3 linked regions of the Oryzias latipes genome follow. The protein of the gene in region 3 purifies or fractionates together with the protein of the main gene of each other region. This does not show direct contact. Links are inferred from orthologs where the notes say so. Each region holds a gene or a part of one and is shown on either strand. Other genes may lie near its edges.

Region 1 (10,632 bases), on a different chromosome or scaffold from region 3:
GGTGACTCAGTTATTCTCCAGTCGCTCCAGCTTTGACCATGACCCTTTTCTTTATGTATTCAGGCAAAATATAAGTCAATGAGGATAATAGGCGCCTATGGCCTCACAGCTCAGGAGACTAACCTCATCACTCTGGGAAAAGGAACAGTCTGGGGGGAGGTAAGAGACGGGCTGAGTTTAAAAATATTAGTTAATCAAATCCATATTTACTAACAATATGCAGAATATGCAACATAAATGAATCAAATGTATGAATCAAATTTCTTTTTAAGTCATTTTGAGTATTTTTTCAGGCATAAAAACTGTTTTCAGTTGGTTTTTATTCAAGAATTACTTATTTTAAGAATGAAAATTCAATTTTTGTTTATTAGTTAGTTAGCTTGTGCGGTTATTTTGGATGGAAATTTGAAAACGTAATCAATATTCACCTACATTTCAACAATTAGTGGATATGCAAAGATGTCGCAAGGGTTAAAATATTTTGGCAGAGACCACCAGCCCTACGTTAGAGTGTACCTAACATACCCATGCGTCTCCCACACTTCTCTTTAGACTGTACTGGAGGTGCTGAAGGGAAGAGCTATTCCCATCTCGCTCTGGATTCTGATCGGCAGCATCATAGGCGGTCTGCTGCTGTTGGCTCTTATTATCTTCATACTGTGGAAGGTATCACATCAAACTCTCTTTGATGTTCAAGACATATGTGTAATATATAAAGGATAGCGTATTCATTCACGCTCTTTTCCTTATTGTCAGCTCGGATTCTTTACACGCAAACACAGAGGAGAGGAGGAAAATCCTGAAGACTGAATCTGTATGAACAGCGATTTGCCTTGTGGACTACAAGGGAAGTAGATTTTTCTTTGAGCCTCCCACCAGGCACAGACATTCAGGAAATGGATGCAACAGAGTTTCCAAAGACTAAAAAAGAGCATCGCAAGGGTCTAACAGAAATGCACTTCCCACTATTTCCAGAGTATGGAGGCACTTACAGCCGGGCAAAAAAAGTATTTGAATATTCTGCAAGTTGTCCCACTTAAAATGATGAGAGAGATCAGTAATGTTCATCGTAAGTTCATTTCAACTTTAAGAAACAGAACAAGAATCCAGGAAACCACACTGTAGGATTTGACATTAAACGCACCATTATTCAAGTACATTCTATAAAAAAAAAAACAATTCTGGATTCTTTTTTACTTTCCGTCTCCCACAGTTGAAGCATATCTATGATAAACATTACAGGCTTCTCATTAACTTGCAGAATCAGTGACTAATAAATACTTTTTACCCCAATGTTTGTAAATAACCTTAGTTTAATTTTAAGGAATTTGAAAATGTATTAAGCCACAGTTCTTTTATTTAACTTGCAGACTTGTTCATGGTTTTATATTTCAAATGTTCACTCGGTTCTACAGCTTTTTGTTTCATGATGGGAAATAAAAAACATTTGGAAAGGGTTCCTCCTGTTGTGTTTATTATTTGCAAGGAATAAAAACAATCAGATTTAAATCCACTTCTAACCGAAACATATTTGCTGTAAACTCTAAAACTGTTGTGACAAAAAAACAAAATCAAATAATTTTTAAGTAAAATGTGGGGTGTCAGTCATTCTTCCAAATCTGACTTAACTTGTAGGTTTTGTAGAGGAACTTATGTAGGACTCCAGAAGAAAGATTGTTTCATCCACTTGATTCTCTGCTGAATCTAATCTGGAAAGAAAAAAAAGGAAAATTTAAAACCTGTTTAAAAAACTTTGCCAAATATACATTTTTTGTTTCTGTCGTCTTCTCTTACTTGTTAACATGAAGCCTTAAGCTATCCAGTTGTTGCTTTTCAGGAGCGGTGATCATTTCTTCCACTTCAGTGAGCTGTTCGGGTTCGGCCCCGCTGGCCTGCAGAGACGCCAAAATAGCTTCGATTCGTTGCGATTTCTCCAGAAGGCGCCTAAAAAACAAACATAATTCACATTTGGCGCATAGCAGTACCTGCATTCTTGTAAAACTTCAAGGAAAAATATGATTCAAAGACCCACTTGCTTTCTTTGGCCTCAAACAGCCGCCGCTCCATAAGGTTGGCCACTGTCTGGAGAGGAAAGCAGGCATGAAATAATACACCTGTGGCTCTCCATCCAGCTTTCTAAAGCTCCCAGTTTGTTTTCAGACTCACCTTGTAACAGTTCTGTAGCAGCAATCTCGCAGTAGGCAGCTGGTTGACGGTATAAAGATAGAAGGTCCGAGAGGGAGCAAAGTCTGGTGTTTTGGGGATTTCCTGGAGGATACATTTAAAAAAGAGATAATTACAGATAATAAAAATTGTACTAAAAAAAGAAAAAACTAGAACTATGGCTGCTTGGTTCAAACTTTGAGAACTCAACACATGTATTTTTAAATAAATCTATATACATTGGTAAACAGAACAATGCTGTTTTGGATTAAATAACTTCAGCTCAGATGTTTAAAATTCACCACCAGGTTAAAAAATTAGTCTTAGGATAGATCCAGGTGTATGATTAAAACAAATCGTAAACTTTTCATCCAGTTCCTTCTTTAAACCCATTTTACATCCACGTACCTGAAGCTGGACCAGGTTCTGTGAGAGCAGAGTGTACAACATGTCTTTAGCCTCTTTTGCTGGAATCATGGCGAAATCCTCCACTTGCTTCTGCTCCAGATGACGTTTCCGTAGCAACAGGCGGAAGATGCGCGCTGATCTGGAGCCAAATCTGAGGATGAATAAAAGGTATCTTATTAACAATGGGAGCCCAATAGCAACCGTATGTGTGGAGAGCAAACACACACACTGGTGTACCTCTCTTGTACGATGGACTCCAGGGTGGCCCGTGCCAGGTTAGCCAATGCTTGGTTCAGATCTGACAGAAAAGTTAGGGAAAGCTTTTGTTTTGGGTTTAGTAGCGAATGACACGCACACCTGTGGGATGGTTTGAACCTTCAAGTGAGCAGAAAGGATACTGACAATATACATTCCTCCTCCACTTTCCCCAGCCTTCCCCACAAACTCCATCTTAGGAAGGAAAAGTGGGAAACTTTTTGAGCATTTTGTGGGGAGCCAAGCAAAAATCAGAGAGATATTTGAGATGAGGAGGACCTACAGGGTCATCCACCAGCAGAGTGAGGTACTGGTCCAATATATGGCGGGGGATGTTGTAAGTAGCTGGGAGGGACCTGAAGATCTCATTGGCTGAAAGGGGTTTTGTGCACGGGGCAGTGGAAGAGGTTGTCACCTCACTCATCCTCAGCATGGTTCTCACTATTTCACTGCTGGTCTGGGTAGGAAAGATGTGAGAAGACAGCTAGTTAATAATAAATAATAATAATAAATAATTAATAATGAAATAAATGTAAAAAGCTGTAGTATTTAAAGCACAGAGAACAATCCAAGAAAAAAGAGGAATTATTAGGAGTACTTCCAAAAACTATCACTTTATTTCATTTAAAATTTGAATTTTCTTTGATTTTAAGGTCAATACTTCAAAGTCAGATAGTCTTATCAAACAACCAAATGCTTATGCTAAATTCCTTCAGCCATACAAAGAGGGTTTTCAAATACTATTCATTTTTACTTTTAACCATCAAATAATTATACACTGAGGAAATGTATTTGGGTTTTTTTTTCTAGGCAATTATTTTTCAAAACCTGTTTTTCTTTTAATGAATAAAAAAAATGGTTAGTTTGAAATGTTTTGTGGAATTCCCACCTGATCTAGTTTGTTGGCGACAGCACTGATGATAGTCTGATCCCGGAAATGCTGGTGGAACCGTTCAAAGTTCACCTGCCAGTAAATCCCCTCATCCCCATGAGTCTGAGCACCAAAGATCCAAGTTATGAGAAGACAAACAGAAGTCACAACCATAGAAGTCTTAGCATATGCAGTGAACATCTTGCTTTAACAAACGTCTCTCTGACCTCTGGGTCCATTTTCGCTTTTTTCGCATTTCTTTGGTCCTCTCCTTCCTCGCTGGCGAGCGAGCGTTTGCTCCGGCCTATGAGTGTCACTTGAGGAACCCTGTAGCAGTCGGGGAAGCTTTCCGGTGTGGGTGCAGTGCTGCTGGCAGGAGCTGCAGAAGTCGAATTGGCAGTCTGACTGCTCCCTGTCGTTCCTGCTCCTGCTGCTGGGGGACAGCGCTGGAGAAAATGAGTCTCTACCAGTTTGGAAAAGGTGGCGGACACTTCACCATAATCCATGCTCGACCCCTCTGTATCAACAAAACATCAAAGGAAGTATTCATTAGAAAATGAATCTACTGATCGCGATATTTTAGGCCTCAATCCAAAGCTTAACTGAAAAAAAAACCTTCAGAAAACAGATCATCTCTTTTATGGACAGTCTTTTGTTTGATTCTGATGCTCACCGTCCATACTCTGAGTTAGACGGTCTGCGACTGTCTTAACTGTGTTGCTCATCGTCATGTGGCCCCTCTGCAGCAGCTCCTCTATGATAAGCTCACCGGTGTCGCCGTACAGCGTTTTGGCTGTGTATATGTAACGTGGGTAGCGCAGAATTCTCAGTACCCGATCGCAGTGGGCTTTGTATTCCGTCGGGCTCCCCGGTCCTTTTCGACCTTGAATAAACGAACAGGCTCCATGTTGCACAAGAACGCACAGAGACTTCTTTACCTTGATGAAAGAAGAAGAAGTCCTGTTAAAGTACATGAACATTACCAGACATCACTGTATTGTATTGACAAAAAACTGATAAGCAATCAGTTTCAGGTAAAACTGTTTTCAAATATGAATATATATTACCTGAATAATTACATTATAATTTTGTTTCTCTTATTGTTCAAATATCTTTAAAGAACTAACTTTTGCCATATTGCAAGGGACATAGTAATATATGTGACCGTTTGCTTTGAATAATAATTCAAATAATGAATAATTTTGATTATTTTTCAAAGAACATCTGACTACAGCGAATGCAATCTCAGTCTTGCGTTGACCTACCAGATCCACTGACAAGCCAGTTTCATGAACAATGGCTCTTAAATTTTGCGTTCCACTTTTGAGCAGATTTCTTCCCACTTTCTCCACCACTTCTCCAAAGTGCTCCTGCAGCAGAAGACCACACAGACGGACCTCCTGGGCTGTCATCTGCACAAACACACCAACAGTTCAATGAAAACCACTAAGTTAATAATAAGAACTAATGCATGTGCTTTTAGTAGGCTGTAAAGATGAATCGATTCATCCATCTGAGGCAAGATGTTAATCGAATCAAACTATACCAATATGAATTAATTTTAAAAGGAAATAAATCAATTATTATCAATATTGGAAAATACCATTTGGATTAAGGCACAGTAGGCTTTTTTTCTAACTATAACGTTAAAACAGACAACACATCGAATGGCAGCAAAATGTAGGTAAAACTGTCCATTCATTCTTTTTTACTTGTTTGTTTGTAAACATGTTTAATTTACACTTAATTATGTTGCAAAAAAATACAGGGAATGTGGAAAACTTCCCCTGCACTGTTCAGAATCCAGGTATTTATTTTCTGAGTCCCACTGGTTGAATTCTTGGCTAAAGATGTTCTGGATCGATTTTAGATCAGTGAATCGGATCGGATTTGATCGTTCAACATGAACCAATATAAACAATAAATCAATTTTATTTTAGTTCAGTTTAGTTTTTCAATAAACAGCACTTTTTTTAGTTATGTTATCTCTATACATCTAGTTTACGAACTACAAACAACAATAATAGTATTTTACTTTGTTAAAACAGGCACCACTTATTCCAACAGGTAAAATCTAAAAATAAAAAGTTAGATCGGTCATTAAGTAGTTTCCCTTATAGCATACAGTGCATGTAAACTATCTCTTCTAATTTGAAAAGTCAACAGTTGTTCAAGTTCTTTCCCCCTTGGGCTTTTGGATAGTAAAATTACAATTGCATGCTGGGAATTTACTAAATTATCTCTGAATATTTGATGGTATAAGCCTGGCATTTTTTTTTTTTCACAAACCTTTTTCGATTTCAGATCTCGCAATGAAAGCAGACTCCGTGCAGATAGTTTAGCGCATGAGGCTAGTCGATGACAACAAACAGACACTTCCGCTCCCGGTTTTTTGCTTGCTGTGATTCGACAACAGTGCCGCAGTGCATGCCGGGCTGGGGGCGGACAGCTCCCTTCAGCTAGTGGAGGACCGACGTCAGTGTTTGTGCTGCTCCGGGAAGATGGCGGAGGCTGCGGCTGTTCCCTCGCATCGGTTTTTCTGTCACTGTTGTAAGGGAGAAGTAAATCCCAAACTCCCGGTAAGTCGCGTTATTTTTGGTTATTCGCTCATTTTATGTTGAGTGTTATGCGCGGCTGACAAGTCTGCCTTCCGGCAGGTAGCTGTTTGTTTCGGCTACTTCTTGCTACAGCTAAGCCCATAGGCTATTAGCATATAGCAGTGTTTGTTGTTGTTAAGTCAGTAAAGAAACTCCGGTTAGTCGTTTTAGGGGAAACTAAGCTACTCTTAAAACTAACGATAGTAGGTCTTGTTATTCGTGCCTGTTTTAAAATACTTACGCTAATCTCTGTGCTTCAAGGTAGAAGTTGTGTGCTTGGTGGTAAATGATAGATGCATGTTTTTGAACAAAACAGCCCGAATTAATCTGAGAGTTTATTTATTCATAAACTGTCACTCAGATTTTCCTTTTCAGTATATATACACATTTAGTTTTTGTTTCTGTTAACAGCAGTGGCAGTATAAGCAGGGGAAGTTTTCTGTAGATGTCATACGTTGTGGTTTACTTTCAGTTTTAGTGTTAAAGTCAAACGTAACAATGTCGGCAGAAGAGGCGTTTAAATGGCCTACTATTACTATTTTACAAATATTCTTTAAAAGGCCATTTATTTAAAAGGACATTCCTACGTTTTTACAAAAACATTTAACTAACTGTAAGTGTTTGTTTTTTTATTTGTAGTTTTTTTTCTCTTGTTGACTCCGTTTTGTGTTTTTGAAACAAATGTTCCTTGGTAAATAAATAAAAATTGACACACATTTTTCAATCATTGAAATATAAGTTATTTTGTTGATGATAATGATTATAGTATTTCATTTTGGACAAGAAAAAATTTGGACAGGTTAAAATAAATACCAGAAATATCTGAATTTCTAACATGAATGTGTTCTCTTACATGTTTTATAAATTTAGCTTATAACTGGCTGATGTATTGAGTAAATGAATTTTGTTATATAACCCGAATTTTAGGAAACACTGCTTTATGTTGTGTCTAGATTTTGACTGAAAGTTTAAATTAAAAAGTGCAACCTGTTAGCTTCTTAGAAGCAATCTGTTAGACTGATACAGAGATGGAGGGTTCTGTGATTTACTGTGCCATAAAGTAAAAATAAACATCCAAACGTCTATTTGTTTAATCGACCAGTAAACTGGAAACAGAGCTGTGACTATTGCCTCCCCATTATTTTTAAATTTCAGATAATTGGTCACTAATTCTGGATTTACTCACTTGTCTCTTTGTGATTTTCTTTTTCTGTGTTGGATCAAGCAACTGCAAAGATAATATCAAACATTTTTTAAACCTGAAATATAAAGTAAATTATAAAAATCAACAAAACAATACATAACATTTATTTATTACAAGTAATTGTGTGAGTTTTGTGAGTAAATCTGAATTCAAAGGCTTTGACCAAAATAATTTCTGTAATTCATAGTCACTTTTTTTTTCAATTCAACCTTAAGAACATTTGTGAATTTCATTTGTATATTTAGCACTCCAAATCGAGTGAACTACAATCTAAAAAGACATTATTGTTGTGACCCACTTTTTAATGCTACAAGTATTGTACTTCAGGTGTTGCCGTAATGGCTTACAACTTTGTTTTTATGCTAAGTGACCTCAATCCTGTTCCCCTGAGTGAAAAGCTCTATCTTTAAATGAGAGGACAACATATGATCCATCCTGCTGCAAAGGCTGCTTGCTGGTTGTGTTTGCTCCAAGCTGTCATGCTGGTTTTGAACGCCCTCCCCCTAAGGTGTGGTTGGCAGACCAGCCGTACCTCTTTGGTTGCATTCATATGTTGAAACACTAAATGAAAGTCATTATTTATGCTTTTAATCAGCCAATCAAAAAAAAAAAAACATCATACATTTTTCTTAACAATTATCCTTTGAAGTATCACGATATGTGTTGTATTTTACATTAATAAAACACAAGCCCAAAAATGGTTTGGCTCATGAAAACAGTTGCACAGGCTTTTAAAATGTCTGTTTTTCAACATATTAAGATGTAAACAATTAAAAGTACATTTAACTGGAAAGTCTTAATGATGGACATGTTTGCTTATAGTATTTCTAATGTACTTTCAACAGCCCTTAAACCAGGATGTTAACATCGTACACATTGGTGTGTTGAAATATCTACTGTCATTTGAATCTTTTTTACTTGTATTGTGTTTGGCATCTTCAATAGGATGTATACTAAATGTAAAACCAAGTTTTTACATCTAAATGTTACTTTTTTTTCTTTCTGATGTGCTGAAACCCAATTGAAATGAAAAATGTGGCCATAGTTCGATGTTTAGTTGTCTCTTTTTTTCCTCAGCCTTTATAAATAAGCGTGACTCTGTCCTTGTTCTTTTTCTTGCAGGAATACATCTGTCCAAGATGTGATTCAGGTTTCATAGAGGAAGTAACAGAGGATTCCAGGTAAGAGACCTCTGTTTCTGGAACAGAACCTTAAAAGTGAATACATGTTTGTTGCTCTGTCAGTTATCTGTTTATTGAATCTTCTTCCAGCGTGACCTTTTAGTTGATCAGTTTAGTACGCGTTTATTGAGATTGTTGTACCTCCCCTGTTTGTGTTGCTTTCATTAGTCTTCTAGACGGCGGTGCAAATGGGATAGATGACACAGCCACACAGTTTGCAGAGGTACGTTTGACTCTGATCATATTAAATTATGATTAATTTTTGAGTTTTCCCCCCATTTTTTGATCTCTCTGTCTCCCTGTCTTTTTTTTTTTTTTCATGTCCCTTTCCATAACTGTTTGTTAATCCTAACGTCTCTACAGCTGTGGCACCTCCTGTTATTGGAGAGGCCGTTTACAACAGACAGTGACACTCCTGACTCCGAGCCAAGGCTCTCCAGCAGTCGTTTGGGGAGTTTTAGTGATTTCGGAGGACTGGGGGCTGGACCGATCGGGGGATCGGTTCCAGCTGGTCTCGGGGGGCAGATGGGTGGTCTGTTAGGATCCAATGAACACTTCGGACCAGGCCGCCCACCTCGCCTTCACAGCCAGAGGAGATACCGGTTCAGAGGCAGCAGCAGACCAGAGCGCTCACCTGCTGTGGAGGGGTAAACTCGTTTAACTTTGCTTTTCAGTCTTTTGACACAACATCCATTGTTGTGTTGCTTCCTCCGTGTTTCGAGCCACAGTCACCTGTAGCGGCTCTGATGTGGGCTCTAAAGTTGATTGTGGCTGCTGAAGTCAGTCGTGTTATGCTCTCACCAGACATGCTGTGTTACGTTCCATAAGTGGTCTGGTACTGCACACTATAAATAAGCGGCTGGTCTATTTTGGACAGAAGCCTCATCAGCTAGCACTGACCGTGTGCTTCTCAAGATAAGGCAACCTGTTCAGACTTTTGATTGTAAATTGCACTTTTTAAGAAATCATTGAATCAATCATTACTTGCTCAGCAACAAAAAGAGATCCGGCCCCACAGTGTTGTTTTTTTTCATCGGGAAATGCCAGAAAGGACTGTTTAGATCAGGGCTCTGCAACCTGAGGCCCTGGAGCCACATGTGGCTCTTTTACCTCTCCATTGTGGCTTTCTGGTTGAAGAAAAATAAAATCTTTTTAATTTTAAGAAGTTACGTATTTTTTGAACTACATGTTAAACTAAATCGTCTTAAAGTCAAACTTGATTCAACACATTTACAAACAATTGAAGGACAGTGCGTATCACTCTGTTAGGCTCCTGAATATGGTACCCATAATGTTCTAACAATCCATCAAGCGGTGTGTCTTTCATTGTTTACCAAAGTCGTACTAAAACATTTTGTCAGACTTTCGAGCACCATGTAATAGTGTGTCAGTAAGCACAACCAAAATTCATATTTAAGGCGCACTAGATTATAAAGCAGATTTTCTATTTCCTTTTTTCTCTCCAAGTTTTTTAAGTGGGACTCATGCTCCGAAAAAACGGTTAGGCTCACTTGGTTTGCTCTGATCTGCTTTTAGTTACATTTATGAATGTCTGGCTGAGATGTACCACAAATAGTAAAACAAACTGTATAGTTTTATTTAACATTGATGAAATCACACAACCTACTACTACAATTTTTGAATTGATCTTCTAAAGGGAAAATAAGGCTTTGCGGTTCCTGCTGGGTTGTGGTGGGTAAGAAATCGACCCGAATGGGTCTTTAAGTGTTGAAAGTTGCAGCTCCCTGGTTTAGATGATCTTTAAGATGTTTGAGAGTATAGTGGTCCCTGCTTTACTACAGGAGTTATCTGCTAAATTAATAACCTGCAGTAGGTGAAAACTATAGTTTTTATGATGATTACAGATGTTTAAGGCTATAAAACCCCTCACTATACACTTTGTACTCTTTTGTCAGACAGTCATGAACACTTTCACACTTTTCTCTTCTGTTT
Region 2 (10,632 bases), on a different chromosome or scaffold from region 3:
CATGAGCGCCTCCTTCTGGCTGCCGATATATTCCGTCAGCATTCGCGCCAGCTGCCTGCGGTCCTCCAGCTCTGCAGCCAGCCTACCATTGTACTCAGCCAGCAGCAGACAGGCTTCATCCACCGTCTTCGAAAGCTTGTCTGCTGCTTCCTTGTCTAGAGGAAAGTAAACAATTAGGTCAAAATTTTTTTGAAAAGATGCCGACGATTTTAAATCATTCTACATGTTGTTTTGTATTAGAAAACATTTATATTTAAAATAATAGCATATTAAATATGATCTACAAATATATATATATTTAGAGTATATGTATATTTAGAAATCGCATTTATGTTATGTCCATAGATTGCACCACATTTAATCTTAAATGGTTTTACATATTTGAAAATGAAATGGTGTGTATTCATATATGCCATATTTTTTGCGTTCCTTTTCATAGTTTCCCACTAATCCTCAGGAGTGACTTATGAATGAATTTATAAAAGAAAAATATTAGCCTATACACTATATTACCAAAAGAATTCACTTGCGCATCCAAATGATCAGAATCAGGTGTCCTAATCACTTGGCCTGGCCACAGGTGTATAAAAGTCACACATCACCAAATGCAATACAAAGCGTCTGATGCAGTGGTGTAAAGCACGCCGCCACTGGACTCTAGAACAGTGGAGTCACCTTCTCTGGAGTGATGAATCACACTTTTCCATCTGGCAATCTTATGGACAAGTCTGGGTTTGGAGGTTGCCAGGAGAACAGTACATTTTGGACTGCATTGTTCTGAGTGTGAAATTTGGTGGAGGCAGAATGATGGTGTGGGGTTGCTTTTCAGGAGTTGGGCGTGGTGCCTTAGTTCCGGTGAAAGGAACTCTGAGTGCTTCAGGATACCAAAACATTTTGGACAATTCCATGCTCCCAACCTTGTGGGAACAGTTTGGAGCGGGCCCCTTCCTCTTCCAACATGACTGTGCACCAGTACACAAAGCAAGGCCCATAAAGACATGGATGACAGAGTCTGTGGATGACCTTTACTGGTCTGCACAGAGTCCTGACCTGAACCTGATAGAACAACATCAGTGTGTGACCTCACCAATGCACTTTTGGAAGAATGGTCAAAAATGGTCAAACACACTCCTTAACCTTGTGGACAGCCTTCCCAGAAGAGTTGAAACTGTAATAGCTGCAAAAGGTGGACCAACATCAAATTGAAATCTATGGGTTAGGATTGAGATGGCAATTCAGTTCATATTTGAGTCAAGGCAGGTGAGCCAATACTTTTGGTAATATAGTGTATTTTTGTTATTTTCCCACCAAAAAACCTGTTGCCTTTTAGAGGCTGTTTCCCAGTTACAACCACTGGAGGGGACTGTAGGTGTGACCATCAGTATTTGCTACTGATAGTAATGCAGAAGAAGGGCCTTCCAATACAATCATGGATGTCTTTGGGATGTGTGAATCCCATTTCGCTGGGCTTAGCAGAGTTGATCAGCAGCGTTGCACTTTTCTCCTAAAAGTGCGACTTATACTTCAGAGAGACTTATATATGGTTTTTTTTTCCTGCTATATTATGAATTTTGTTTTTGGCTCCTGCGGCTTATACTCCAAAAAATAGGGTACTTATATGACCTGGACTGAAATGTACAAATAAATTGAACTAAACTGAAAGACGCTCTGGTCTGTTTCTAAACGGATGTCGACTGGCAAAAAACACCTTCCTAGGGGTCCGACGATAACCGCATCACCGTGTGGTGATGACTCATCACCGCATGTTTGTTTTTTTCTTTTTGAAAGTTACAGGATTGCGTTTGGTGTGTGATTTGAACTATGATAAACACATTTATCTTTGCTAATAATTTACTTTTTCTACAAGTCCTAAGTTCAAACTTAATATGCTTGTGGGGGAAAAAGCCTGCATCCTGCTGTGCAAGGGAGGGACAGTCCATTAAACATCATGGGGGATTTTTTGTGTGTGTCGGATTTTAAATTAACTGCTTGCCATGTTTCAGTACTTGTAATGTTTACAGATAATGTTAAATTAAATACACACAAACACGGGCATAAAAGATTTCATCTCCGCGGTGATCAAAAATCCCACACCGTCACAGCTCTATACGTACCTGTAATCTTTTCCAGCAGAGAAACGTCTTGAACCTCCTGTGGCAGCGAGGCGATCTTCTGACGCACGGCTGCATCACCTGAAGCAGCGTTCTCCAAGTCCTGTAAGGCCTTTACCAGCTCCTCTGTCTGAAAAGGTGAGACCGGTGAGAAGAAGAAACCGATTACCTTTTCATGATAAACATAACATTTTTAAGGGGTTATGAGGGAAAAGGCAAAAAGATTAGTTCTTTTGTTTATCCCTTTTCTATTACAAGAAATGAGGCTTCCATAATAGTAACACTTACAGAGAGATGATGCACATTAGGAACCTAAAGGTTTAGAAACACAGGAGAACAATCTACTGCAAATTTAAGAACTCATAAAATATACATGGAACAACAAAGATAAAATTAAAGCCATGGCTTGTGTTTATATATAAATTACTTTCAAATTGCTACTTGATAACCTTTTGTTTTTCTATTTTTTAGACACAAAACATGCTTTAGTGTATTATTTCTGTAGATGTTTAAAATGTGTTTACATCAGTTTGATATTTTAACCAGGTTTTCCAATCATTAAACAACAGCTCTGAGATTTTTGGAAGCAAACATATTTTTCAGTTTAAGGTTGTTTGTTGAAAACATTACATCCACCATCCTTCAACTTCCAATCACCCGACATGACTTTAGCCTTATTCAAAACTGCCCTTACAGGTGGATACAGGCTCTCTACAGGTGAAAAATGGGTCAATTTTAAAAATTTTAAGATGGTAGACTGCTTGGTGACCTCTTAGAGCCAAAATGTTCTTTTTATACGAGCATGCTGCAGGTCAGAGTGAGCACAAAGTAAGTGAGACGGGCGTGTTCTTTGGATTTTTCCTTATTTTTTTCAACCCCCTCCCACAAATCCTGCTGCAAGGGGCCCATAAGTGATGTTAAAGTGATAAGTGTATAGACTGACTGTCACAAATTAGGAAATCAGACGATCAGAGCGTAGTTTGTGTGGGCGTCCTACGGGCATATAACGTAGACACTGTACTGGGCCCTTGTTGCAAGGTACTTACTAAGACTAGACTGTCGTACGGTGCCCTTACGCCACACTTGCATAACCCTTACAAATACTTCCAGTACACTTACTGACAACGGTACATTCCAATTTCATGATGTCTGTCGAAACGGCTATACGAGCAGTAAGCACTGCAAGACACACCTGCGCTCCACTTTAGATGCAGCAGCTCTTCTCCACAAGCCTCTATGATCCGGACAACCCCAAAACCTGGAGCACTCATGCAGGCCAACCCCGAACAGGGGCATGTGACTACATGATCGTTTTCTCATATTACTTCCAAAATTGAAGTCAAAATCAAATTTGTAACGTAGGTTTATTTTTGATTAAACTGTGCATGTATGTAGGAGGAAAGGTCATTCTTACCAGCTGAGTGGCAGATGCCTCTGTGCTTCGCGGAGAGTTGTGACTTCTATAGTCGTCATCATCGTCTTCATCGTCTTCCTGGATCTTCTGATAGCTTCGTTTCACTGCTCTCTTATCCTCTGTTTCATCAGACCACAGCAAATAGGAAATCTTAGGTCAGCAAGATAAGACTGGCTCAAAAAAAATCGATTTAAATTGTTCATTTAATTTTACATGAAACTAAGACATTTATATCATTATTTTAAAAAAGAAAAACAGGCACCTTTGTAACACGTAAATATAAAATGCACCTCAAACTAAATTCTTGTTGGAGAACAATTTTAGGTTGTTGCACTTTTAATTGCATGTCATAAATCATCTTAAATGTGTGCCATTTTTAAAAAGTACATGATTGCAACAAATCATGATTAAAATGAAAGTAATAAATGCATAAACCAAACTGTTTTTTTTATCAGTTTTTCATTAAAAAACAACAGTTTTCTCCTGTAATTTGTTTTCATCTTAAAGTCCCATTACAGTCATCTTTTGATCTGTTTTTAAAAGCGTTCCCAGAGGTCTTTTAATTATGATTTATGCCGTTTTTAGCGAAAATGGAAAAAAAACTTGTCGTTTTGTAGGACATAGCTTCTGCAGATCAGCAGGAGTTCATCAGAAATTTGCCTCCGAGTTGTGGGCGGGAATGTTGGAGCAGGGTAAGCCTGCGCTCATTTCCCATCATCCCTTTGTTTACAATCTTTGACGCTAGCTCACAGCCCCTCACAATCACATCCTAGCATTAGCATTAATGGCGGTCAATATAGGAACAATCCAGCCGTACAGTTTTGATCACGATCCCAGCTCAGACGAGGAAAACAAAGACGTACATGGATCTATTTGTCTGTAAGTGGATACATCAGACTGGAACAGAGCAGGGCAGAACTTGCAGCTGCCTCACTGCTTCGGGCTTTTTCAAACTGCGTTTTTCCGTCTGCACCTGATTCACGATTTGAATAAAGGAATACTCAAAAAAGCAGTTTTAATGCTAATTTTCAGAATATATGCGTCCTCTTTTATGAGAAAAATGCAAAATATGTAAAAAACACCAAAAATGCTTCTTTTTTGTGTGGGGTGGGTCTTTAAATCAGAATATTTTGGTGTCTCTAAAGATCTCATTCATTTTATTACATGTATAAAAGTCATTGCTTGTAATGGTTGCCTAACCTGAGGGCCTGGGGCTGTTCGAGTCCTCTATGGCAAGCTTGAGCTGCTGAATGAAATCACTTCTGTAAAGGCTCCTCTCCTTCCAGATGTTTAGAAGTCTTTCCATGGGCCTTTTGCAGTTTTCATCTGCTTCTCTGTGGAGAGTCAACAAATCAGTAACAGGAGCAGCGAACACACAAACAAATGGGTCTAAGTCTATTTTTGTGACGTTTTTGTAACTGGGAAACAGACCTGGCAACATGGGAGCATGCATCCACGAGTACAGACTCAAAGTCTTTGGTAAATTCTGGTCCTTTCTTCTTGCTGTTTTGGATAACATCATTTGCCAGATAAAGAAAAGTCAGCTTCCGGTTGCTTTTAGCTGGAAAAAAGAGAAAAAGCATTTTTACACAAGTATATTTCACTTTTTCCAGTTATCGTTGATGCTGCATTACTGATCAGTCAGTCAGTTGCTAGACAGTAGAGCCTGATAGGTCTGGTTTGGTCACATTGAACAAAAAAGTAGAGAAATAAAACCATCCGATCATCTTTTGATCCATTCTTAAAAGGTTCCCAGTGGTCTTTTGTTTATGATGATGTCGTTGTTAAGCCAAAATCCAAATACCCGTGTCATTTTCTAGGACATAGTTTCTGCAGTGCCAGTAGATATTCACCTCTGAGTTGTGACGCGAAGGAACACCCCCCCTTCCCTACCATTGCTGAGAGTTCTCTGTTCATATGCTCTCCAACTAGCTAACTACCCGTCACACCCCCAGCTATCCAGACGTACAGTTTTAAGCCACATGCCAGCTCGGACGACTAAAACCTAATCGCACATGGATCCAGTAGTCTGTAGATGCATCCCAAAGGAGCGGCACCACCCACTGTGTAAGAGAACTGGACCGAGCAAGTGTGACGTCAATTAATTGAAGTCAATTCAGTTCCCATTTTTCCATGACACAGACGCCACCATTCGGAGCCAGACAAGGTTAGCGAGCAGTGATTGGTCTGAATCTGTCTCTATCAACGTTATTATGTCAACTATTGTCACCAATCAGGAGTGAGCTTGTTGGAAGACCACACCCTTTCCGCTGAAAGCAGGCTAGTCAATGAAACATTTCAAACTTTTGAGGTGGGGGCAAGCAGGCAGGGCACCACATGCTTTTGTTGAGGCATCTGATTGGCCAGTTTATAACTTGAATAACTTTCACTACAGGAAGAAAAAAGACCATGACCATGTTTAAAAAAAAAAAAAAGGTAACAGAGCAAGGATGATTACTTTGACAAATATAATGACTGAGTAATAGCTGTTTATTTCTGTACAGAAGTCTATATTATCTTGGCTTCTTGGAGCCAGAGGGTACTTCCTGTTTGGAACGCCAGGAACCACTGGCTGAAATTAAAATACTTATTATAATTATTATTATTGATGTTTCAAAGGAACTAAGACCTAATGTTTCATGTCGGATATTAACACAACATATTACTTGGTTATTACAATTCAAAATGAATAACAAATGCATATTATTTTCATGCTAATTAGAATTTTTGTTCATAAGTTGTTTTTGCTTTACCCTCTACGTAAAAAAAAACGAGTGAGTTGGTTTCTTTCACGATGATCCTTATGTTTTGTTTATTCTTTTCAAAATAAAAGTTCCTAATACAACTTTAGACACATGGCTGGCTGCAGGGGTTAGCTCTTACCTTTCTTCAGTTCTCGGTGCCACACTTTGACGATGAGACCCGAGTGTTTGCGGTGGTGGATGATCCACAGGGACAGCGTCTGGACGCTCTGCTGCGAGCTGCTCAGCTCCGACAGTTTCTTCTCCAATGCCGACTCGGAGAAGGACGACATGGTATGCCGACGAGTGTCCCTGCTCGCTCTACAACTGGCCTCGACCCTCTCAAATAAAAAGCTACGGAGCTCCGCACTGCTCCGAAGAAAGTCGCACGCTCATCAAACTGAAGTTGTCTTGATTGATTTAGACATATGCAGCATGAAACTTCCTCCTGTAAACAACCTCCGTAACGAAACTTCTGAGTAGATCTCCAGGGAGCCTATTCTTGTTTGTTTACAGTGCTTGCTAACGTTAGCAGAACAAGCTAAGCAGCCTCCGCGCGGAGACCCAAATCGAAAATAATCTAGGCTTTTAAATACCTCCCAGTTAAACAAATTCACTTCTCGCTGCTGTATTTAAAAGAAAATTTCACGTTAATATGAAGTGAAAAATTGCACTTTAGCTTTGGAAGCCTGAACTAATTAAAAAAAAATGCTCATCGAAAAAATGGCAGCTTGCACTTTCAAACCGACATGTGCGTCGCACAGTGATGACGTAAAAAGAACGGCTCTTTCTCGTAGATATATACCTTTCTATTATCTACAAAAATAAAACCCCTAAGCGATTAGTTCATATGATGCATTTGCTTGTAAAATGTTTTTAAGGTAAACTATTGCTAATTACCCTGGCATGTTTTGCTCTATTATTATTATTATTATTATTATTATTATTATTATTATTATTATTATTATTATTATTAGTGTTGTTGTAGTTGTTACTCACCTTTATTTAACCCTATGAGAATAAAAATCTCTTTTAGAAGGGAGTCCTGCCAAAAGGCAGGCACAGTCCGTTTACAACTAACAGACACATTAAAAAATAGAACAATAAAAAATTAAGACACTAGGACAATAAAAGCATAAACCATAAAACAGTTGATGGTTTTAAACATAGGGAATATTTATGGCTAGAGATGAGAAAGAAACATTTTGCATAAATTACGGAATCTGATGCATTTGTAAGGCTTTAGCACCCTGTCCATAATTACAGTAGTCATTATTTCCATAATATTATCTCAGTAGCAGACAGTACAATGTACTAACTATAATGAAACCTGAACTCTGACCATAACATTGCTTTGATGATCAACAATCCACATAAAAATTGTATCAAGATTATTAAAGGGTGAGAAACATTAAAAAGGCCGCATCACAACACACTTAATGTTGGCTATAGGGACATTTTGTTGAAAAATACATGAGACTTAATTTGTGGATTTATTCAAGCTTTTGTTGATGCCAAATTCTGCCAGATATCTGTGCTGGGTTATTAACAGACTGTTAGAAAGCTAGTTACCTCAGTATGAGTGTCTTATGCAAAATTCCTGGACAAACACAACAATTAACAAAATAATGTGCATGTTTTCAACCAAATGCAAAATATTCTTACTGGAATCCAAAGAACAAGTTGATTTCCATGCGAATTTGCCTCAGTGATACTGTGGCTGAAAAAATGCACACTATTCCAGTCAAAATCATGGGTTTGGGATCTGGATGCAGGTGAGCACCAGGCAAATAGATTGCCGGTCTTAGGTGTGCTTAGCAAATTGAGGCTCAGATGTCAACCAAAATTCAAATTCAATCTCTCGTACACAGACAGATTTCATAAAACATTTTAGTGTGTGAGCAATCAATCAATTTTTGTGCCCTTTCACACACAGGACATGTAATAATGCATTTATATATTAAGGTGCATTTTATAAGTAAAGTTTGTTGTTGACAACAACCTAATTTAGATAAAAAATAAATGTTGCAAAAAGGAGCAGATAATCATGAAACAAACTTTCGAACAAATTGACAAAGGATTTATAAAATTCTAAGAAAAAAGAAAAGTAGCTGATAAATACAAGGCTGAAATGACAACAACTTTAGAAACACAGAGACATTTGAAGATGCTTAAAGGGAGTGATAGCTCCACTTAAGGCTACCTTAAAAACAAACAATTTCATACATGATTCAAAGCAAGCAAAATATTGCTGCTTTTAATTAAAATGTCAGCATTATCAAATATGATTACAAAGCCTGTGAAGAGCAAAACGACATGACATAGACCAAACAGCTTCATGCTCAACATCAAAAAAGAACAAAATGAAGAGAGAAAAAAAAACACTGAGATTAAAAAAACAAAGCTAGCAGGGTCAAAGCTAAACAATAAAAAATAACTTTTATACTATAAGCTGAGAAGCAGCAGCAATTAGAGCCCATCCTGTTGTTTGAGCCTTAAGTACCACAAGGAGGAGCCAGTCTACAAGATTTAAGAACACCAGTAAAAAGAAAATAAGAAAAATATCTAGATTATTCCAATTTAGTTTATTTCAACCATAATATAAAAATAACAATAGATACATTTATACATTTGCTGATAACTATAGTCAGTTAATTAAAAATAGTCTCTTTTTGACAGAACAATAAACATGTTTGAAAGAGAGATAGGCCAAGGCTGAAGCTTGTTGAAGCCTACACCCTTATGCTGTTTCAAATATGACAACAAAAATACATCAACAAAAATCCATATATTGATATCATCAATATAATGATCTGTCTGAAGATTTGTCAATCAAGCATTTCATTATTATCACATCATCACAATTAAATGACAAATACCCAGGCAAATAATATAATTTTCATGGGGCTCAGACATTAACAGAAAAATCACTGTTATCCATGAGTGATTTAATTTAAAAGCGGAAAAGTTTTTTATTTCTATTTATTTTTTAAATTGACAAAGGTTTGGAAATGGTTTTTCTCTCTGCTGTTATACATTCCAAATTTTTGATCAGATTACAGTAATGCAGACACGTTTTTATTTTGTTCTAACAAATTCTGTGATTCCTTTAATCTGTATCCTCCTTTTATAAAAAAAAAATTTTGAAGACACAGCTAACCAAACAACACAACTAAACATACATTCGTCCAACTTTTGACATTTATATTTTTGAACAATTAAAACATCAGTATTAGTTGGAAAAGTCTTTATAATACTTCATCAAAACTTGTAATTAACCTTTCTAAGAAAATGCACTAAAAATTTTAAATTATTGAATTCACAACATGAAAAGGAAGTATTTGTTTTCTTAAAAGGTAGGTAGTTAAACTTGTTGTTGGCTCCACTGTTTTTATTTTTTTTATTTTTTTTAAAGTTTCATATTTTCATAAAACGTGATTGATTTTTAGACATTTCCCAATGTCAAAACTGTCTTCAGGTCCTTTTTATTGAACTAAGTAATTATTAGAAAGCAGTTAGTAAACAAAAAACAAGTTTGGCATCTTCCAGTACTTGCTACATTGTGTAGCTCAACTTTTTAAAATTTTGTAATTCAAGCTTCTTGTTTCTGAACACCACAATATAAACAAAATGAAAAAATGAAGTATAACTAAAAAACTATAAAGTAGAGAAACAAAATATTCAAAGATAGAAACCAAAACAGCCATTTAAAAAATACATTTAAGTAACAAAACAACACAATTTGCTTTGAATCTGAAAACCACAACTCATTTGAGTTAACACCAGTATTAAGGTATCTTGTCCCTGTCCCTTAAGGATTTATTTTGTGCCACTTATTTAAATGGGGAAATACATAAACAAATTTGTCATGCAAATATGCTTCTGGGAGCCATAATTTTGCATATAGATGCAAAGATGCTTTTTTTCTTTATTAGGCCTTCCTTTAAGAGCAACCCCCCCAGGGGCACTTCTGTGCAGTTCAGTTGACAGCAGAAAGATGTTTCAGTACATGTTCTTTTTCCTCGGTTGGCTGATTTTGCACTTAGCTGCTGGGGAGCTTGATTATATCTCTCAAGGTAAAGGAATGCAGTTACAGGGGGATTACTCATTGGCCGGACTCTTTCCCCTCCACTATACCAAAAACCCAAACAGCGGTTTTCCCGCTCTGGTGCCATGCGATCAGTAAGTCTTTCCAACTTCTAGTTTTAACTTTCCTTTCATAACCTAATGTGTTTAAACAAAACCGTATTCCAGGGGTCGACCCAACAAGCATGCAGTTCACTTAATGCAAGCCATGAGATTTGCCGTGGAAGAAATCAACAATGCCAGTGGTCCACTGCATCTTCTGCCCGGCGTCAAGCTTGGA
Region 3 (10,632 bases):
GCGGACACTCGGCGGCCTGGCTCTCCAAGCAGCAGCAGCATCACAGCTCCCCCCTGGGGGACGCCTCTAAGGTCAAGAGCGAGGCTGTGACCTCTGGGAGTCACTTTGCAGAGGCGGCCTCTGCAGGCACGCATGTTACCTACACGCCACTCAGTCTTCCTCACTACAGCTCCGCCTTCCCCTCATTGGCCTCAAGAGCTCAGTTCGCAGATTATGCCGATCACCAGGTCTCAGGGTCCTACTACGCCCACTCCAGTCAGGCTCCGGGGTTGTACTCTGCATTCTCGTACATGGGGCCTTCCCAGAGACCCCTGTACACCGCCATCACTGACCCCGCCAGTGTGACCCAACCACACAGCCCCACCCATTGGGAGCAGCCGGTCTACACAACTCTGTCGCGGCCATGACAGATGACAGAACCAGGAGGCGCCTGTGCCCGCCCAGCCCCAACATCAGACCACAGAAGCAGAGGCGACAGCAACAGTGGAGCTGTTGGAAGTTGTGATGAAAGTGCTCTGGTCTGGGGGGCTTGCGCAGGCCGGGAGGGCATAAGGGGTGAAACCTTGTTCCAATCCTGCCCGCGTGTAGGAGAAAACGATGTAAGAAAGCGGAGGGTGGTGTGGCAGCACTCAGTGTGGTTGTGAGGGAAACTGGAGACCCTTCAGAAATTGCAGCAGCTGTGCCAGTGAGCGCTCAGGTAGGCTCTCACCTGTTCCAAACTTCACGGGTATCAGGAGGCACACTGGAGTCTGCAAACATCGCCCCCAAACAAAAAACAAAAAAAGAGAAAAGCACAACTTTCCTTCCTGAAATGAAACCAGGAAAGAATCATTACACAATAACACATTGCCAATCTTTTGTTGTTCATGACATAAAATTAAAGATTATAACTCAAATGGATGAATAAATCCTGAAATGGTTGTTTTGGCAAGAATTTGTCCACTTTGTTCTCAGAAAACCACAGTTACCTAAACTCAAACAGATCTGTTAAAAAGGAAAAAAAATCAAAATGTATCAATATTTTAAGTAACAAATGTGCCTTCTGTAGAAATCCAGACAAACTAATGAAACTATGACAAAATAACCAAAGCATTGAGACCAAAACATGTTTTACTGTTATAGGATAGAAACAGATTTTTAAAGATGTTTCTCCCAACATGACACTCAAAGCTACCTGGTAGTTCGTAGAGATGTTTTTTGGATTAGCCAAAACATTTTCAGTAAAAGTTATTCTTCTTTTATCAGAAAGTTTTTACTTTATCTTATCTGAAGTTTCTTTTCCTTCTTTTAGTGTTTTCTAATAAAATCTTCAGACTTTTATGTACTTATGACTTGAGAAAACTTTATTTTGTACTCACAAAAAACAGTGAAGTTTGACTAATAATATTTGTATTTTAAGATTTGTTAAAGAAAAACTGGGATCTCACAGATTACTATTAAAACATTTTGCCATTAACTTCACTTATTGCTTCACCACTGTCTAATTTTTTACTTTTTTTGGGTAAAATGTTAGCATTTTGCTAATTTTAAGATTGATTCATTAAAAAAAACGGATTTCATACTTGTATGCTGAAGGAGATGCCAATATTTTTGAATGACTTGCCACACGTGAAGATAATTTCAGATTGCATTAACGAAGTGCCTTGTTCTTGACAATTTACTTACATGTAATTATATTTCATTCTATTGTGATGAAAATCCTTCAAAATCTACATTAAATATTATTCTATGCCATATTTAAACTGCTCGCTATGTAAAAGTATAACAATGCTTTGTTTTCTGTCATGCTAAGACTGGACTGTAACTTTAAATTGAAATGTTTCTTTTTGTTGCTCTGAGCTTTTTCATTTCCTATTTATAATTTTTTTTGCATCTATTTGTGTAAAAAGCATTTTTTTTCTTTCTCTTTGATCTAAGCTGCCATTTATTTTAATAGGAACAGTGGATTTCAGTCACAGAGTCTGTAAATAAGAGCAGGAGCAAAAGCCTGAACATGTGACGATGACTCTCACTTGAAATAAAGTTCTTCTGTTTTTTTGCCTGTTCAGATTTTCCTGCAGTAAATTGAATTGGAACATCTAGAGCTGCAAAGCTAAATTATGTTTTATTATAGCTTTCTTTACAGGCAATATATTATTATTTATGACCCCAGAGATCTAGGTAAACATGCAAAATACAGTTTAGAGATTATAATTATAATTTCTAGTAAACTGGGAGAGAGGAGCAATGATGGGGACAAACTGGTGCAGATTCAGTTTCCCTTGACCTCACTTGAGCCTCCAGCCTTCTCGGGGTGGGGGTTCAGGACTTGCTATGGAAGCCTGGATGCATATTCCAGATTTCTGCCGTTATGCATACATGTATGTGTCTCTGTGTTTGGTGCAGATTAGGCCTGACTCCTAATTCCCTCTCTCTTTAATCGGCTGTGTGATACTTTGGAAAAAACAAAGAGGACCATTGATGGGGGAGGTGAGGGAGAAGGGAATGAGGGCAGGGAGGGAGTCTAACCCCATAACTGCCCGCTCTGTAGCTTCACTGTCACACAAAGCGACCCTTACTGTGTGCAACTCTCACTACTCTTCCTGTTGCACCCTCTCACCGTGCCACTGTGGTAAATAAACACAGTTCAGACCAAATTCTGGTCCACTAAGCTTCTTTTGAGAGTAAGAAATGCACGAAAGATAAACTAAAATGATCTTCAGCAGCAAAAACAAACAAAGTCATCCTTTTATGACTATACAGGAAAACAAAGTCAAGACAAAATGTTAACTTAGGATGTCAGAAACCATGTATTGCTCCATACTAGAATTTAGGCACGACAGAGGAGGGGCGATGGTTTGGGCTTGTTTGACAGGACTTCAAGTCCCAGATTAAATACTTTGAATTCACAATTCATTGAAAGATGATTTTTTTTGTCACAAAATACTTTTAAAAAATAAACGACAGAATTGTGTTTTTTTTTGTGTGTCACTGCACATTTGAATTGTGTTAACTTGATCATAAGACCCAAAGATAAGGACATTTTTTAAATATAGTCTAGGGCTCACACATATCGACTATTCAGAAAAAGAATGTATAACGCTGACGTTCATGCAAGGTTTGAAAAAATGAAAATCTTTGGAAGATTTCAGGTGCTGAAAAACTGTATTCAAGGAAATTGAGGCCTGAGGTATGCAGATATTTAACAGAGAAAATGACCCGATAAATTCATAGGCAAAGCGATTCACTTTCCCCACAATTCGGTTCAAACCTCACTTTTTGGGTGACAGTTTTGTTTTCAGTTCAATATGCTAATAGTGCATGGCAAAACAACAACAAAAAACTAAAAAAATCGACTTTATAATTAAATAAGCAAATAGTAAAAAGAAAACCTTTCAGCTGGTTCATAGTAACCTTGGTGTGATGTAATAAACACTGTTAAATATATTGAACTTAGCACAACACACTTTCAACGCAAACATGTGTAAATGTTTGCAGCAGTGATGCAACAATACATTTTTCCACAACGTAGTTCAATGGTTTAACATAGGGTTTGGTTTTTAACTGAGAATCGTAGCATCACTACGTTCCTTACAATACCAAAGCAATAATCATAACAGCAGTTGGACATGAAAGGCTTTTTAAAAGTAACGTGTCTCAATTCTTTTTTGGATGAAAGAATAAGAATGCTACTTAACCCCTTAACGTATATTTGATACAAACTTGGATCTAACCACTTTTACTCCATATTTACCTTAATTTCTTCTACTTGAAAGCAAAAAATGTTTTTTTCTTCCTTTTTTGGAAATAAACTCAAGGAGTTAAGCTATTTATCCCTTGTGCTATCCTAGGCACTTTAACATTGGGAGTTGGGTCATCTAGACCCACTACTAAACAGTGCTCTGAACCCTTTTTCTTCAATGATTTGTGATCTTCACTGGTGTCCATGGATTACATGAAATCTTTCCACCTTTATCCACCTTTGTCATGGTAGGAATAACACGTCAAAGTAAGGGTGGGGTCATCTAAGATAGCACAAGGGTTACATAAGCCAATTTCAATTTAGTTTATGCTTTTGTACTGAAAAACATTATTAGACAAAAATTATAACTAGCATAATCCTGACTGCTATGTTTTACAGTTGTCAATATTTTTTTTCCTGCTGAACCTTAAATAAAAGTTTAAATAATTTAAAGACTAGTACATTAGTACTAGTGTGAAAATTGAGACACCAAAAATGTCACTTTCTTGAGGCTCATATGAAAACTAAGTCGCAATTTTTGGCATCAAACGGGGCCTCAGAGCTGGGCTGAAAATAGATTCTCTTCGGGCAGAAAACTCAAGAACAAGCCCTTCTCCCCTGAGCACTGGTTTTTCCTCCAGCGCCGCGCGTCTCTCTGCCAGGGCAAACACTCCCTTTGAACAATGCCGACCTGTTGAGCTGCTTCATTCACATGGTTCCGTGGATAAACTCAGAGAGAGCCTCCGTCTGTTTTCTGACGGCTTCACCAAATCCACAAGGGCTGTAGCCTCAAGGAAAATAAAGACCCGCTGACATCAAAGCTGCATCAATCAAACACCACATGATTCTTGAAGTTTAATCAACTGATTTGGTTCTTTTTTTAAATGACCAAAACTGACCATTTTTTCCCTGACTATGACTCATGCTGACATTAAAACTTTAATAATAACAGTCAGAAACCGTGAAATTATCATAAAAAAAGACTTTATTTATAACAATAAAACAGATGATCTCTGATCAAAATCAACACTTGGAATACTTACAACAAAAGTTCAGTTTGTTAAAAAAATGTGTTTAAACAAAGTTATGTCTCCCCCTACTGGCTCATGCTTGCAAAGCAGGTTTTAAAATGACTGCATTTGCTGCTTCTGTTTGGTATCATCGAAGCTCTGAAGTTCAGCTGAAAGTCCAGGTTTGTTTAGTCGGTAATGATGAGCTCATCACAGCCCCAGTCCTCGTAGCTGCCGTCGGGGAGGTACCTGCGGATGATGATGGGGATCTTTCTGCTCCTGTTCAGAACAAACGGCAAACATTGAGTTACCAGGAACAAAACAAGATGAAAGAATTTAGACAGAAATGGAATAATCTGATGTACTTTAGTTCCTTCATGGCGATCTGCAAGGGGTCTGTTTCTCCCTCCAACTCGACCATCACAGGAGCGCACATGCTGTCGGCAGAACAACGACAAAATCCTCAAAATAAATCCCAAATTGAAGTAAAATGTCATTATTTTAAAGCCAGAAAACAGGCGGGGCAGAGGATTCATGGACTGTTCATTCACACACACACTTTTCAAACCAGTGTGTCCTTAAACGGCCCAAACACAAAAACACAGAGATGTCAACAACCAGGTTCAAACCCAGAACCTGCCTTCAAAGCTGCAAAACTGAGAAATGTAATTCAGTGTCATTTTGACAAAATGAGATGCAAAGATTTTTTTGTTTGTCCCTGAAACACGTGATCTGCAGCAACCAGTTGGGACCTCGTGATGGGCCCATAGCACAGCTGGGGGGCTTTTCTCTAGCTGGGCCAGGGCGTGCATTCTCCATGCTCCTGTGACTCCTTGCTCTTTGGTGCTGGGGACTATTTCGGCAGTCCCTCCTCTGGTATGGATGGCTGGTATCGGGTCACTGGGGTGGTGGATTCCCTCCTGGCTGTGGTGGTCCTGGCTGCCGCTACTGCCTCACCTCATTCTGGGGGGCTTGGTGTGGGACGACCAGGTGCTCCCCCCCTTTTTTTTATTCATTACGCTTCATACCATCATTGTCCACAGTAGAACACAGACAAAAAAACTAAGCACCAATGCCCACTCACCTTGGCTCAGAAAAGGACTTTTGTATGAGATTGTATCTGCTTTTATGCAAATGAAGGTGCATATTTATCTGATCTCTATCTGTGTTGTGTACATGACAATATGCAAGAGTGAAGGTTTTTGAGGGCAACAGGAATGTTTATAATATTCAGTGTGTGCGATAAACATAAACATCTAATTGTGAAAGTTATAAATAACCTCTAGCAACGTTTTGTCTCTTTTTGTTTGCAATGGTGTGTTTCTTTGGTGACTCTCCAACTTCTATATGTCCTTTTCTATCTTGTCCCCCCCATCCCTAATATCCCACTATCCTTCTCCGTTTTCTCCGGTCCAAAAAGGAATGGACACAAGTCCATCATTTTTCTAAAACCGGCCTATTGTAGATCAGGGTCTGAAGGAGCCTATCCTAGCTGTTTTGGGGCAAAGATGGGGTACATGCAGCATAGTTCAATAAGCACAAATATTAATAAAATAAAGTTAAGCCTCAATACAAAAAGGTTTGTAGTGACATAAACCTCCTCTGCCCAAAGCTTCAAAACTCCTATGGTAACATTACAATCTGTCCAACACCAGGGGCCTTCAGCTCTCATCTGTTTGATCAGCTGCTCCACACGACAAATTAGCAAAATAAAATAAGAAGAACAACAAAGCCACAAATGTTTGGAAGCCTAACTTATTGGTTTAGAAGAGTAAAGCGCTTATTTTACAGTAAACAACTCACGCTATTTGGAGGGCTCGTGTTCCCAGCACTCTCGCTCTCTCATATTTGGTCATGTGCGGTGTTGTAATCCTTTTCTGGTTAGCCTGCTGCCCCTCTCCTGCGGGGAGGATCTGTACGTTCTCCTGGTCCTCCTGATGATCATCCAAGGAAAACAAGCATCTGATTAGACTGCCAGATAGAAATCATGAATAATGAACCCCAAATATGATCCACTAAATGAAAAAAGTGCAGACGAACATACATCTTCCACGTTTTCCAGATCGTCTAATCCTTCGTCCTCATCGGCGTCCTCAAAGTCTCCATCATCAAAGCTGCAAATGTTGACAAAAACTGTATCAAAGACCGAAAACGGTGAAGTCGTAACCTAGCTTAGCTAACAGGCTACACGCTAAAATAGATTTAAAATTAACATATACCATGACATTATTTGATGAACATAGATCACAACTTACTTGTCTTCGTTATCAGACATGTTTTAACTTATATTTTTTCCAATATAGATACTAATAGAGTTTATTAGCAGCAAATTTAATTTAGAGGCTAAACCACATTGAGCGTTGTGGTCTCTAAACTTCCGGTGCGCGTGTACGCTGAAAAATTATGTCCGGCTTCTCAACTAGAATTTCTTTTTTTGTCCTACCTTTTTCTAATTCAATTTAAAAACAAGCAAACAAATAGTATATAAAAAGCTTACTTTCTATTATAGTCAAGTATCCTAAACAAAATAAACTTCAACTAGAAATAAATATAAATCCATCAAACTATGGAAAACCAAGGCTGTACCTTTAGAGAAAAAGAAGACACCAAAATGATAGTTTTCAACATTTATTTTAATGTACCCTTGAGAGAAAATGAATACTAATAATTCTTAATTTTTTGCCCTGCATTTATAGAAAACGAGTAACAATGGCATGTCACTTAGTGCAAAGTTAAAGAACAGAATTGGGTCAACCGAATGCGAAAAAACATTCAGAGCTAAGGCTGGATTCTGTTTTTTTTACTCTTCATCTAATATATTTTCCTACGTGATCAAATGAAAAGATATTCACAATAAACAACATAAAAATGTTTTTGCAAGTGCTTTCCTGTCTTATGTAAGAATACTCATTGCAAGAAGTAGTCTATTTAAGTGTACTACAAGTATACTTATAAATGTGAGGCAGTATACTTGACGTTTATTTTTTTAAAATATAATGTCAAGATAAAATCTAGATATTGTAAACTTAAAATTTCCAATTTCCAGTCTCAAGAAATATTCTGTTAGTATACTTCATCTCTACACTACATGAACATGGTCTTTAGTACAGCGTACTTGCTTTATACTTATATTCAAGCAAACTTAAAAAAATAAAAGCGTCAACTTTTTGCTAGGGTTAAGCTCAAACAGCTGGCACTTTGTCAAAGAACAGATCCATTTAGATTCTTCACTTATTTAATAAAATGTGTCTATACAAAAGAGATTTCTTTTAAAACAATTCTTCATTACCTATTTTATAAATATAGCAGTGGATGGGTAAGAATTTCTAAACACAAAAAGGAAGAAATGTTCACGTTTTTAACAACAAAATTAATCCTGTTTGTTGGTTACACATAAACTTTTTTTTTTCAAATATAGCCCAACTATGAAATATGCAATTGATTCTTTGTTAATTTAGTAAACAACAAGTTGCAATAATTTACAATAAAAGTGAACATTTGACAGGAGATTCTTGTCACAACCTTTTAAAAAAATGTCACTTGTAAAATTGCTCTCTTTCACAGTTTTCTATACATTTTCTGATGAACCCCTTTAACCAAATTACTAAAAAAAACTAAAAAGTAAATATAGCAAAAGATAGTGCAGGAATCTGCATGGCTGATTTTGTCTCAGAAGAAATCTGTAGGACAACAACTTTAAGCATTTTCTAGTGATGCAGGTTTGGAAAAATATTTTTCTTAAAACAGGGTTTTAAAAAAGTGGTAAAAAAATAACATCAGTAGGAATTGGTTTCTATTTCAAAGTACTCCGTTTTTCTCTTGCTGGACTTTGTAAACAATTTGAACAGAATGTGCCAAACAGACGAGAGCTCATACCAGTCCCTACATTTTTGGATAATCTAGATTCTCTTCTACAGATGAGAAACTAAATCTAAAATTGACCAGAATGTTCCTGCAGCTCTTCAGTCCTTTTTCCTCCCAGAGTCCTTTCTGCTCTCGGGTTTGTTGTTCAGGATTTTAAACACCTGTGCAGGTTTGAACTTTCCTTTTGGCTTCTTGAGCCCTTTCTCTCCTTCCTTCGGAAAATCTGAAGAGAGATTTTGTCATTAACAGCAGTGAAACAAAATTATCCTCAGCAAGACACTTTCAAGAGGGGATTGGTGTCACTCTCACCTCGGTTCTTCATTTTTTCTTCCAAAAGCATATCTTTGTCTTTATCCCTAATGAGAAAAAAGGAAAAAGGTGTATTTTCTGTAACTTCTACATTTTAGTGTCTGAGTATAAGGAAGCAGTATTTGCGTCAACCTCTGTTGGTCCTGATCCAAGCCGCTTATGATCTGATTTCTCTGCTCTATGATGGAGACCAGCTCATCCATCAGCTGCTGCTCACGACCCCGATCCTCCTGACTCCATTCACTCTCTGTTAAAACACATCAAGTCAAAGCCTTTCTCATTTTTCTGAGCCCAGTAGAGACGCTTATGGATTCTCACCTCTATTTCTGTCTGGGTAAAAGCAGACGCTAACCTGGTTTGTTGAGGAGACATCTGAGCTCATACTCCACATCTGCCTGCCTGTCCTCCAAATTCTGCTGCTTCATCCTCAAAGAACAAAGACAAAAGAAATGATTACACAAAAATAATTAGTAAACACAATTTCAAAGAATTTGCTGGTTCACTTACAAATAGACCAGTTCTGAGCTTTTGTGTGATATAAGTAGTCGTTCAAGAGTGAGGGAGAACCACTCTGTAAGCATTTTTTCCTCCTCTTTACCTGAAATGTAAAAAGCGAAGCAACTGAAATAGAATTTCTTGCAATTATGAATAAGCGGATAATAGCCAAAAACAAAAAAAATATCTGGAACGATAGCAGTGAAACTGAAGTTCACCTTTCCGGCGTGCTCTGAGAATCCTCTCCTGTTCAACTCCTTGTTGTTCCAGATATTCCAGTTTTTTCTCCAGCTCCTTCATCTGATTCTGCAGGTCATTCATGCACAGATCCTGGTCTGTTCTTACCTGAAAAAGTAAAAAAGAAACTCCACATTATTTCTGCAACAGCTGTAGCAAACGCACCTTATAAAAGAAATAATACACATCATTTTTTTAGGTCACATGGCCCAATATTATGTTGAAGAAGTTTTAAAGTAAGATTTCTGCCTTTTTTTAAACAGTGTGTCATCTTCCACATGGCTGGAAAATGCAGCATTGAGAGACTGAATTGGGATGCAGAAATGTACCTTCCTCTTAATGAGGGGGAAGCCGTGGCCTGGAGCTGGACCCCGACTGGATGAAAAAGTCTGGGACTTGGACATGTGAGCTTTTCTGTCAAAAGGATTTTCTTTACAGGATTGCTAAAAACAGAAGAAAAAAAAGTCAGATTAAAAAGACACCAAAATGTCAGTCTTATGATGAATGCAATTTTCACAGATTCTTCGCAGGATTCAAAAACCTTCTCTTTGGCATCTATAACTTACAATTCAATGGACCCAAGTCATGGAATACACATCTAGATCTGGTACATAACTCCATTTCTTTATCAACTTACAAAAAAACAAACAAAAAAAACAGACTTTTTTCCAAATATTTACTGTGATATTGTTATCAATGCATATAACATATGGATTTATAAAACGGGCAGAATAAAATTTTGTTTTGATTTGCGGCTCTATTGGCTTGTTTTGATAGTAATGCATATCTTGTTTTATATTCCTTGTTTATCTAGGGGTTGTTCTTTTTAAAAGCTTTATGCTTCTTCCTTCCACCTCCCTGCACATCAGCTTGTTTTTTTACGCTTTCACATAATTTTAGTTTTTATTTTCTTTATATACTGTGTCACGATTGGCATGTATGTGTCTTTTATATGTGCTAAAAAAAAAACATTAAACAGAATCTTGACTTAAAGAC

What was found.
Region 1: the proteins of polr2f (region 3) and polr3c purify together in Homo sapiens (affinity purification with mass spectrometry; 3 studies listed by BioGRID and IntAct, with this or other methods). This does not show direct contact. The link is inferred for Oryzias latipes from reciprocal best matches to the Homo sapiens genes POLR2F and POLR3C.
Region 2: the proteins of polr2f (region 3) and rprd1b purify together in Homo sapiens (affinity purification with mass spectrometry; 4 studies listed by BioGRID and IntAct, counting the BioPlex papers as one, with this or other methods). This does not show direct contact. The link is inferred for Oryzias latipes from reciprocal best matches to the Homo sapiens genes POLR2F and RPRD1B.

The regions. Positions count from the first base shown.
Region 1 is NC_019874.2:18,837,033-18,847,664, reverse strand, and holds polr3c (DNA-directed RNA polymerase III subunit RPC3), read right to left. Parts: upstream 6,106-10,632; 5' UTR 5,987-6,105; intron 5,110-5,986; coding exon 4,963-5,109; intron 4,636-4,962; coding exon 4,371-4,635; intron 4,215-4,370; coding exon 3,925-4,214; intron 3,821-3,924; coding exon 3,716-3,820; intron 3,284-3,715; coding exon 3,110-3,283; intron 3,022-3,109; coding exon 2,970-3,021; intron 2,870-2,969; coding exon 2,809-2,869; intron 2,723-2,808; coding exon 2,572-2,722; intron 2,269-2,571; coding exon 2,167-2,268; intron 2,083-2,166; coding exon 2,033-2,082; intron 1,945-2,032; coding exon 1,795-1,944; intron 1,710-1,794; coding exon 1,625-1,709; 3' UTR 1,453-1,624; downstream 1-1,452. Other genes in the region: itga10 (integrin alpha-10), read left to right, coding at 64-159, 553-666, 757-810; E3 ubiquitin-protein ligase RNF115, read left to right, coding at 6,199-6,276, 8,621-8,679, 8,848-8,902, 9,043-9,326. UniProt on the Homo sapiens protein: DNA-dependent RNA polymerase catalyzes the transcription of DNA into RNA using the four ribonucleoside triphosphates as substrates.
Region 2 is NC_019865.2:7,642,763-7,653,394, forward strand, and holds the start of rprd1b (regulation of nuclear pre-mRNA domain-containing protein 1B), read right to left. Parts: upstream 7,035-10,632; 5' UTR 6,560-7,034; coding exon 6,409-6,559; intron 5,087-6,408; coding exon 4,957-5,086; intron 4,860-4,956; coding exon 4,726-4,859; intron 3,645-4,725; coding exon 3,526-3,644; intron 2,242-3,525; coding exon 2,115-2,241; intron 156-2,114; coding exon 1-155. UniProt on the Homo sapiens protein: Interacts with phosphorylated C-terminal heptapeptide repeat domain (CTD) of the largest RNA polymerase II subunit POLR2A, and participates in dephosphorylation of the CTD by RPAP2. Transcriptional regulator which enhances expression of CCND1.
Region 3 is NC_019866.2:19,811,434-19,822,065, reverse strand, and holds polr2f (DNA-directed RNA polymerases I, II, and III subunit RPABC2), read right to left. Parts: upstream 7,142-10,632; 5' UTR 7,007-7,141; coding exon 6,987-7,006; intron 6,846-6,986; coding exon 6,776-6,845; intron 6,666-6,775; coding exon 6,535-6,665; intron 5,169-6,534; coding exon 5,097-5,168; intron 5,011-5,096; coding exon 4,920-5,010; 3' UTR 4,689-4,919; downstream 1-4,688. Other genes in the region: sox10 (transcription factor SOX-10), read left to right, coding at 1-407; MICAL-like protein 1, read right to left, coding at 8,694-8,818, 8,905-8,951, 9,037-9,151, 9,257-9,330, 9,412-9,502, 9,618-9,744, 9,966-10,079. UniProt on the Homo sapiens protein: DNA-dependent RNA polymerase catalyzes the transcription of DNA into RNA using the four ribonucleoside triphosphates as substrates.